Linked DNA regions of Nothobranchius furzeri. The main gene of each other region encodes a partner of the protein of the gene in region 2 in a complex. Links are inferred from orthologs where the notes say so. Each region holds a gene or a part of one and is shown on either strand. Other genes may lie near its edges.

Region 1 (4,742 bases), on a different chromosome or scaffold from region 2:
AGCAAGGAGGTATGTTTTGTTTTTGGTTCTACAAATGGACACTAGGGGGTGCTAAAAGCAAGCCAAAACTGAGTGCATTTAAACATCTTGGTTAAAAGCAAATGGAGGAAATTTGGTAGGATTCAGCAGTTTGCTTCCCAGTTTTCACATTTGAGCTGCAGACCAAGTCTCTTAACAACCATTGGACGGTCATCCATCTTTTTGTTTCCATTTGGAAGCTTTACTACAGAGAGGGGCTTTCCGTTGATGGTTAGCTTCCATGATTAATGACCAGATATTATTTTTGGAATTCACTGGACATTCTTTTTTTTTTTTTTACAATGCAATATGCACTAGATGAGTTTAGGTATTTGGAAACAGAAGCAGAACATGAAATGCAGCCTAAGTAGACACTAAATAGGGGAAAATGCTCAGCTTATACATGAGAAACCGTTAGTATTGCTGCCATCTGCTGGTTCTGTCTCAGAGTTGCAATTGTCGATTTTACGGATCTTGATTCAGTCTCAAAAGGTTGGAGCAGACACTAAACTCTGTTATTTGGCTTTACCGTGGCACAGATCCCTGACTTATTTGATCAAAGCCTACAAAATATTCAGATTATCACACACATTTTAAAAACTGGACTCAAGCTTTCCTCCAAATAAAGTCATAACTGCCAGACTGCCAAACCACGAGTTCATTATACATGCCATGTCTGTATTGCATCACCATCTCTGGGACCCTGATGTGAACTGACAGCTCCTCTCTGGGTCTAGCTGTAGACAAATGCCAGAAATATGTGAATCTAACACCGTTTGGATACAGCAATGTTTTTAGTAAATGTTGGACAGTTACAAAAACAATTCTGTGACTGAGAAAATCTTTGGTCAAACTGTGATCTATGACTCTTCTGGAAACCAGACACCTTAAAAAGGTGTTGCCACTTTAATGTGCACATTCGCTTCTGGGGGACAACAGAGATCCCACAACATATTTATCTTTCATATACAGAAAATGCATTATTTATTTTTCTTCATGTGAGGAATAATACAACTTTAAGTCCTAAATAACTTTTTGAACGGCGCTCATGTGAAATTAGAATCACCTTCTTTCTGAGTCGTTTCCACAGAGGACCTGTGACCTGAAGGAGTTATCATGTATGTCTAGGATGAGTGATGGTCATTTTAGTGTTGATGTAGTTGTGACCACTTTGTCTTGCTGACCCAGGGCTTAAGTTGTATTTATATTCCAGTTGTGCCCCCTACAGAGTGGTTCTGGTGAATGACTTGCATTTTGGTAAACAAAACAATCAAAGAACTTTAGGTAACCAACACTTACTCTTTTGACTGCTGTTTTACAACCCTAGGTGGGCAATAGTTCATCATTAATAATATTTGAAAAAAACATCTACCATAGAGTAAAATCACCATGGTTTAAAACCATTTGCAAGCTTTAAACCCCAATTTAGCAATTTTCTGCATGTAGCATCGTTACCTGCATTACTCGGCACGGTGTCCAACTTTAAAACTGAACGTGATCCTGCAGCGCCCCCTGTCAGCCTGGTTTTACTTTAAAATTTAAACCAATCAGAGACGCGTATGTTGACACAGTCTCGAGGCACAGGGGAGTGTTCCTGCTGCTGATTGGACAGTTTTTTTTCAACAATGTAGTACGTGATTAGGATGTCTTTCCAACCATCGAGGAGGGAGGGGATATTTTAATGGCCGTCACTTGCACTTAAAAAATACAAAAACTCCGGATTATCAGCTATATTTAGACAAGTACAGCTTCCTATACATTTTAGAACGCCTTTCTTTCGCAATAAACGCAACATCTAAAACATCATTAAATTAGAAATGTGTTTGTAGTGCCTTTTCCGTTGCTCTGAACGGACTTTACCCGCTTGATTTGTGCGTGAGTAGCTGGTTAGGCCTCGCCGGCTGTCTGGAGACGAGACGATTAGCTGGAGTTGAAAGGTAGAAAGTCTTCTTTGCTTTTGCTTTATACTGAATATCATATTAGATGCCAATACTAAAAGCTACCTTATGGGTGCTTGGTCGTGTTTGAAATACGGAGTTTCATGCTTAAAATGGAGCCATGTTAGAAATGTAAACAAGAGTCAGGTTAGCGTAGTTAGCTGTGCGGAAGCTAATAGCTAACTTCACAGTAGTTAACTTTACATGCATGCCTAACTAGTTATCAGGCAGAGACAAGTTACCTACACGGCTAATGTGTGACAAAAGGCCGTGTATTTAACTCCCAAGTTTAATGAAAGTTTATCAAAATCCTTTTTCTCTCGTGTAACCTAGACAAACGACATTCGAAGCTAGAGCTAGCAATGCTAACTTTGTATGCTAGCAACTATCAGTTGACTCAACTAAAACTTGCAGGCAATATTTTGAAAGCATTTTAAGTGTATATATTTTTTTACCTGTCGGTTAGCAAGTAAAATCAATAACATTAGTAAATATATCGATTTCTGAAGTGTCTTGTTATAAAACTTATCTAGGACATATACATTGAAATCCCATTAGGACCTTCAGAATAAGATAACGAACAAGACCGGGTAGTTTTTTGTGAGAAAGTCAAAGAACGAATGGATCGATTGTTGACATTTAGGTAATTCTCTCTATAAATAAAAGTCTAGTTGTTTATAGTTTGTAAAATGTGTTTTAATTTACCCTCAACGCATAAATGACCCCAGTTTTAACCAGAGTAAGAAAAAGTTTGAGATAACAGCTGAAGTCTGAACATTATTTGGAAAAAGAAACTAGTAAGCATCTTGTGACACATGCAGCTTTTTTCATAAACTTAATTTAAAAACATCTAAGATCATTTTTGTTCTTTTAGATGTGCTTGTATGTGAAGGTTCAAATGATCATGTTGTTAACTTAATGCATGTGTTAAATATTGAATGGTCTTTACCTTTATTTACAGAGAATATGTAACAAACAACAACCAGCATGACATCAAGATTTGGTAAAACATACAACCGCAAGGGAGGGGAGGCAAATTCAAAGTTTGAAGAAGTCTTTTCCAATAAAAAGCCCTCTCTGTCCACCAAATGGGGAGAAACTACATACAAGGCTCAGCTGGGAACCAAAAGGCCTCTCTTAAAACCCGGTGTCCCTGAGGTCTCAAAGAGACCCAGGCTTGAGGACAGTGACAATGAAGAAGACCCATTTGGGTTTGACAGCGATGAAGAGTCTAAAACTGTAGCCTCTCACAGTGAGTCTGGTGCGAAACTCATAGAGGAGGGGGTGACAGAAACTGCTCAAGTGCAAAGTAGAGTAACTGCTGCTGTTGTGACTGCCACACAAGGCTCTGCAAGTATACCTGCTACATTCGCAAGTGAGTGACAAAAAATGTTTTATGTTGCATCATTTTCTTTTCACTATCTTTGTCTCTATTTTTTATTCCAATTCTTACACTCAGTTGTGACTTCTATATTATCAGTTCTGGTTCGAGACCAAACTATATATCGGGCCAATATATTAAATTTTTTCTGTACTGTATCGGCCATTAGCCGAAACTATTTTTAAAAGCCAACAAAAAAACAATCAGGCACCTGTGTGGCCAACTACTGCCACTACTAGGCTGAAGAAAGGACCCCAACACACTTATTTATTAATTTTTTTTTTAATATTTTGAGTTTGTTTTGTATTTGAAGTTCAATAAATATTGAGAGTATTATATATTGCACACAGTGAATGTTCAGGTGTCTTTCACAATCATTGTGCTGCTAAAACGTGTATATATACATATATATCTATATATATATATATATATATATATACATATATATATATATATATATATATATATATATATATATATATATATATATATATATATATATATATACACATACATATATCAGCCTTAATAATCAGCTTTAGATAAATATAAACATATCAGTCTGCCTCTAGTCCTGGTCTTTTACTATGATCACTCATAAATTTCTTTACACTTTTAGGTAACCAACCATCAGAGAAGAATGTTAAAAACAACCAGCCCTGGTACAAAAGTGCATTAGAAAGCAATCAGAAACCAGCATGCCCGACCTCGTTTTCAGACACGGTTCTTTCTCAAAACCAGAACATCTCCGTGTCGCAGACAGCTGCTTCCTCTACTTCTGGTTTAGACTCCTCCCTCAAACTGTCAGCTGATGCGCCAGGAGGTAGCAAACACTTTCAAACTCCTTCCTCCTGTGATGGATCTTTATCAGAGGAACTAAAGATGGTGGTGCCCATGGAGCCTCCACCAGAGCCAGTAGACAACATTCCCCCATCGCCATTCACTCTAAGAGCCTCAAACTGCAAGAAATACCAGCGGCCCAGTCGGCCTGATAAAATTCTATCTGAAGTTGCTGAAAACGACAACGAGAAGCTGACCGACATAGCGAGTGTTCAAGATAAAACCAACAGTGTCCTTTCTGCTAGTGCAACTAATACTGCTGCCAGTGTTAAAACAGCAGCTAAGCCTGCAGGCAGAGGTGGTGGGAGGGTGCGAGACTACACAGTTCTGCATCCCTCCTGCGTGTCAGTGTGCAACGTTACTATCCAGGACTCAATTGAGCGGAGCGTTGATGAGTTAGTCCCCCCGGCTACCCCCGCTGACCTTGGAGAAGCAGGGCTTATGAAGAAGAAGTCTGATGCACAGCCACCTAAATCTACTCGGTAAGATGTGTTTTTATCTGTCAGCATTTTAAAATGATTCATAAAGTTGTGATGTTAGTATTCAGTCTGTTTCAAAGAGATTGG
Region 2 (5,003 bases):
ATAGAGACACTCTGTCTCCAACCACCTCTCAGGCAGCAGCCTGCACTCCCAAGTTCTACACATCACCAGAACATAACCAACCAACACAATAAAAGCAGTGTTATACAAAATGGAAGGCCTGTAGTGTTTATTCTCTTACAGTAACAATTTATCAGTTTTTTGAGGAATTTATTAGATTTTTTGGTTTTTATTAACTGTGCAATAGAAAAATAATCATTAGATTAATTGTCTAAATAGTCATTAGAATAGTCGACTATTCGATAAAATAATCGTCAGAATAATAGTTTTAAAAATAATAGTTTACCCCCAGCAATCATATCAGTAGTACATATATAAAATAATAATCACCAGTCTGTGATAAACACACACACACACACACACACACACGAGAATCCATCACATGACCACAAACTATCAAAAACTGTTTTCTGAAAAGACAACATAATTGTTGCTGCAATAAATTGTTCAGCCTTTGTTCTTGCTAACTGTTCTCCCTTTTGTCTGGTACAAAGACCACTACAAATGATTTAACACTGAAAACAAACCTGAATTTAGGCACTGTACAGGTCAGACTGTGTTTTCACTTTGTTTAATGTTTATTTATCTACTTAAGAAGAAATGAGTTGTCAAATTTAAAGCCTGCATTATAAATGTATTCACGCATCATGACAGTTTTCTGTAGCATCGTTCAAGCTGCAGCAAACACACAAACACAAAGAACAAACACACTCAACATTGGCAGGTTGCCAGATCGTTTGGTTCTGACCTTCTTTTCCACCCCACAGCTGCTGCCAAATTTGAGGCCGTCCCTCCATCGCTGTACGACACTGACACAAGGAGAGCGATCAGCCAATCATGGCAGGCTATTTCCCAAACTCATGTGTGTGTTACCATCCATCAGGCAACATTCCACAAAAGCAGTAGTAAATAATAACAAGGGGGCTAGCTCTACCCCACACTACAGCTTGTCCATGGGCTGCTTTGAGCTCATTACTGGTTTATCACAGTTAAACACATTTACCTCCCTGTGGAGGGTTTCTATCCCACTGCTTCTGCTCTGCCAATTCTGGTCCTTTAAACACAGCTTCAAGCACAACTTTGAAGATCCAAAGAAATTCTCAGTTCCTAATCTGAACAACGACAGATCCGCCCTTCGGTTCGAACTCCAGGGATGATCTTTGGGGAGTGGGTAAGAGCCAACAACAAGAAGGAAGAGTGGACACCAGCTGGCTGCAAGGGTGAACTTAACGACCTCTGTTTGGGCACTCTCAACACGAAAGAAAACTAGCTAGCACTGTTAAAGAGATTGTATTTTCTTGAAATCAAACCAAGCTGAAATTATTTTCAAGGTTTATTTTCAAGAAGGTGCAACCCCCCAATCTAAACATGTGAAGGCTGTCCTAAACAACCACGAGCCAGAGAGGAAAGGTTAACATCAGTCCCACGTTTATACACATGTGATCATGTGGCCATAAATAAAATAGAATTAACCTACAACTCTACTGAATCACTGAATGCTTAATTAAAAAAAACCTATACACACACGCATATATATATATATACTGTTATTAAAAATAGATGGAGACACGTGGAAAACATGCAAGACCAATAACAGCTATAGCAAAATGACTCCTCACATCTTGTAGTTACATTTTATTTAATTGTAGAGTAGCACATAAGCACTGTTACTGTGCTTCATCTACATATAAGTGGACTGACAGAATTGTGCATTCAACACAGTCAGATCACAACAGACAAATAGGAAATAGTGGCAGTAATTGCACTTTTTTCCCCATTCAGAATGTAAAGTAAGGATAAATAGGCAGCTCTAAATAAAAAATTGCCTCCAAAACATTTTTTGAAGCTGTGGTTATATGGTATTTGACAACATCTAATAGCAAATCAAATGGTGTAAGTTACACATAAAAAAACATGACATTCTCTTTGCAGTAGATCTGTATACTCACTCTAGTTTACGGTGGTTTTTATGTAATCAAAATAATGTGTCATGGCCGTATTATCCCATTACCCACAGAGTGTTTTCCCTCCCGTGAATCACTGACAAACCTATAACGTTGATGATTAGCAGTCAAAAACACACAAAGCTGTAAGCGACTTTTAGTATATTATAATGCACTAATTTGATTACTAATGTCATCTTTTCGTGGTGATTTCTCCAAGCATCACCACACAACTCAATAACAATCCATATCGGGTCAGATCACTAAAAAGTAAGCGTGAGCAAAACCAGCTTTAAATTGAGATAAACCGAACATGCAGAAAGTGAATCGCTTTCACGATTACTAAAGGATAAACATCACGCTGTCCAACAACCATTTAGGACGCCAGTTTAACTAGAAAAGACAAAAATGCACCGTACTACATCGTCAGCATCGTCATATCTAAAAATGATGCTAACATGAGATTTAGCCTAATTTAAGGTTATTTGTGAGCGACAGGTTACGAATAGACAAGCGAACATTATGAATGAATGGAGAATACTGATTCACCACCGCAGCATTTAAAGAAGTACGGTCAGTATAATGCTTGACTGACGGTGGCTAACTCAGCTAGCCGGGGTTAGCATGCTCAAGGTAGCATTAGCAGCAGCAATCTCAGTGACAGAGGGCGGACAGATGGCAACGTTGCATGGAACAAAACAGCCCGGATAACAACCGTTACATGGTTCCTACAACCCCGAGCCGAGCCACACCACAAGTCTCGTCACTGCCTGTTCATTCCACTAGAGTCACCGAGCCTAACCAACGAGCTTATATTGTACTGGTCAACCGCGTTTTTGCGCCGCAGAACCAGGTTGAGCAGCGCGGTGGATCGAGCAAAGCAGCCGAGAACACAAGCGACCGAGGCGGGCTGCGCTCCGCCTTTTTAACCGTTTGGAACCAAACGTCTCTACGGGAAAATCCCAACACATACCGATTTATTCGCAGGAGCGATAGGAGATCCTGCCAGTTTAAAACAACGGGTGTGCTTGTTGGTGCCTTTTCTTACCTGTTACCGATGAATAGTGATAAATCGTGTCCTCCTCTGCAGCTCTCTTTCCCCTCCTAGCTCCAAAATGGCGCCAACATGCATAGATTCAGAGCCCATGGGTACAACCCATCCGTGAGTGAGCAGCGCCACCTATAGACGAGTCCACGCAAGTCGTTCTGCTTACATCATGTTTGAATTCAGATTTTTGTAAAATAAAACTGTTTATGAATGGTTTTATAAACAACTCAAACCTTACCTTGTTTAGTGTTTGGGTGTGTAAAAATGATGAAATATTTTATTGAATAAAAGCAACTGCACATTATTTAAATAAGAATACATAGTTTCCTAAAATGTTCAATAGTTTATTATATTTTTCATCAATCTGTTTATTTTTCAGGAGCGCAAAGATGAGCGAAAACCTAAAATTGCACAAAAGATTGTGTATAAATACACTAATAAACCATAGTAGTTTGCCTCGCCTCTGTCAGTGCGCCCCAGGGCAGCTGTGGCTACATTGTTGCTCATCCCCACCAGTGTGTGAATGGATGAACTGTAGTGTAAAGCGCTTTGAAGTCCTTACTGTGAGAGGCGCTATAAGTGCGGGTTGTTTATCATTTAGTTGAACCAAAGTTTTTTATTATTATTCTTTTGAATAAATATAGCTTCGGAAAACAAACACATGTTTTCATTGGTGCAATATATATGTTGCTACTGGTTATTTTCTAAAATCACATTTTAAAAATAACCCTTTATGCATCCTGTAACATTTGTTTTCCTTTTCATAAGTTTATTGGCTACTTCTATTATAATAAACATATGTTTTGTTATTGATTTTAATTTAATAAAAATTAATTTAGAATATTCTACAGAGATTCATTTTCCAACATATTTTCATTGTGTCAAATGGAAGGTGTTTTACAGATGGTTTTGTCTTTTTCATAGTTTTATGGACAGTGTGAACTATAGGGGGCGCTCCAATACAACGTTTCTGATTTACAGACATTTGAGCCTAAATCGAGGCTGCGCAGTGGTTAGAGCTGTTGCCTTGCAGCGAGAATGTCCTGGGTTCGCTTCCCGGCCTGGGATCTTTCTGCATGGAGTTTGAATGTTCTCCATGTGCACGCGTGGGTTCTCTCCGGGTACTCCGGCTTCCTCCCACAGTCCAAAAACATGACTGTTAGGTTAATTGGTCTGTCTAAATTGCCCCAGGTGTGAGTGTGTGTGTGTGTGCATGATTGTTTGCCCTATGTGTCTCTGTGTTGCCCTGCGATGGACTGGCTCTCTGTCCAGGGTGTACCCCGCCTGATTGCCGATTGCCCGCTGGAGATTCCCACCCCCTCCCCCGGCGACCCCACAAGGGCAAGCGGGTTCAGAAAATGAATGTATGAACCTACATCCTTTTGAAAATTTTTAATTACTTATGTCAGAATTACACAGATTTTGTAAAAGCTGCAAAAAGTTTAAAGGTTACCAATGAACATCAGAGACATATAATTTAAAAAAATATATCTGAAATTATTGTTAAATAATTACTAAATTATGTATTTTGTGTGTTTAATTAGAACCTGCACACCTGGGTGTCAATTAACCAATTAAAGTGGCTTGATGGTAACTGCATAAATTCTAAAAGGAGGTGCTTGGATCGGTTTCTTGGCTCTAGGATGGAGGGGTTCCTGCACACGTTTCCGCCCTATAACGCCTATGGGAACCCGGTGTGCGCTCCCCCGGCTCAGGGCAGCAGCTGGGGGAAGAGAGAGGGCCGCTTCATGATCCCTCCGGGCCTCAGCTACCTGGAGCTCTGCAAGACCATCCTGTCCCAAGTCAGTCCCGGCGCACACCCTCCTCCCCCAGCCAGAAAGGAAAACACCAAAGAGTGCGGCGTGCAGGTGAACGCCAAAGTGGATAAAATAGTCCAGTGTTCCTTGGGTCCCAAAACGCTGCTGGTCGACGAGCACCTCGAGAGTCCTGGTCAGGTCAAACCGGAGGAAAAGACGAAGCCCCACACGCCGCCG

Evidence for each region. Proteins that work in one complex are often made in the same cells at the same time.
Region 1: the proteins of pds5b (region 2) and wapla are in contact, whole or in part, in a crystal structure (PDB 5HDT), measured with the Homo sapiens proteins. The link is inferred for Nothobranchius furzeri from reciprocal best matches to the Homo sapiens genes PDS5B and WAPL. Residues at the interface, in NP_055847.1 of Homo sapiens: Gln47, Phe88, Ala92, Pro93, Ala95, Trp137, Val138, Lys139, Ser140, Asn142, Ile143, Phe145, Glu146, Glu187, Gly188, Asp189; in NP_055860.1 of Homo sapiens: Lys7, Thr8, Tyr9, Ser10, Arg11.

Annotation. Positions count from the first base shown.
Region 1 is NC_091752.1:29,580,202-29,584,943, forward strand, and holds the start of wapla (wings apart-like protein homolog), read left to right. Parts: upstream 1-1,742; 5' UTR 1,743-1,955; intron 1,956-2,916; 5' UTR 2,917-2,942; coding exon 2,943-3,330; intron 3,331-3,955; coding exon 3,956-4,658; intron 4,659-4,742. UniProt on the Homo sapiens protein: Regulator of sister chromatid cohesion in mitosis which negatively regulates cohesin association with chromatin. Involved in both sister chromatid cohesion during interphase and sister-chromatid resolution during early stages of mitosis.
Region 2 is NC_091750.1:62,006,409-62,011,411, forward strand, and holds the start of pds5b (sister chromatid cohesion protein PDS5 homolog B), read right to left. Parts: upstream 3,118-5,003; 5' UTR 3,010-3,117; intron 1-3,009. Other genes in the region: zar1l (protein ZAR1-like), read left to right, coding at 4,653-5,003. UniProt on the Homo sapiens protein: Regulator of sister chromatid cohesion in mitosis which may stabilize cohesin complex association with chromatin. May couple sister chromatid cohesion during mitosis to DNA replication.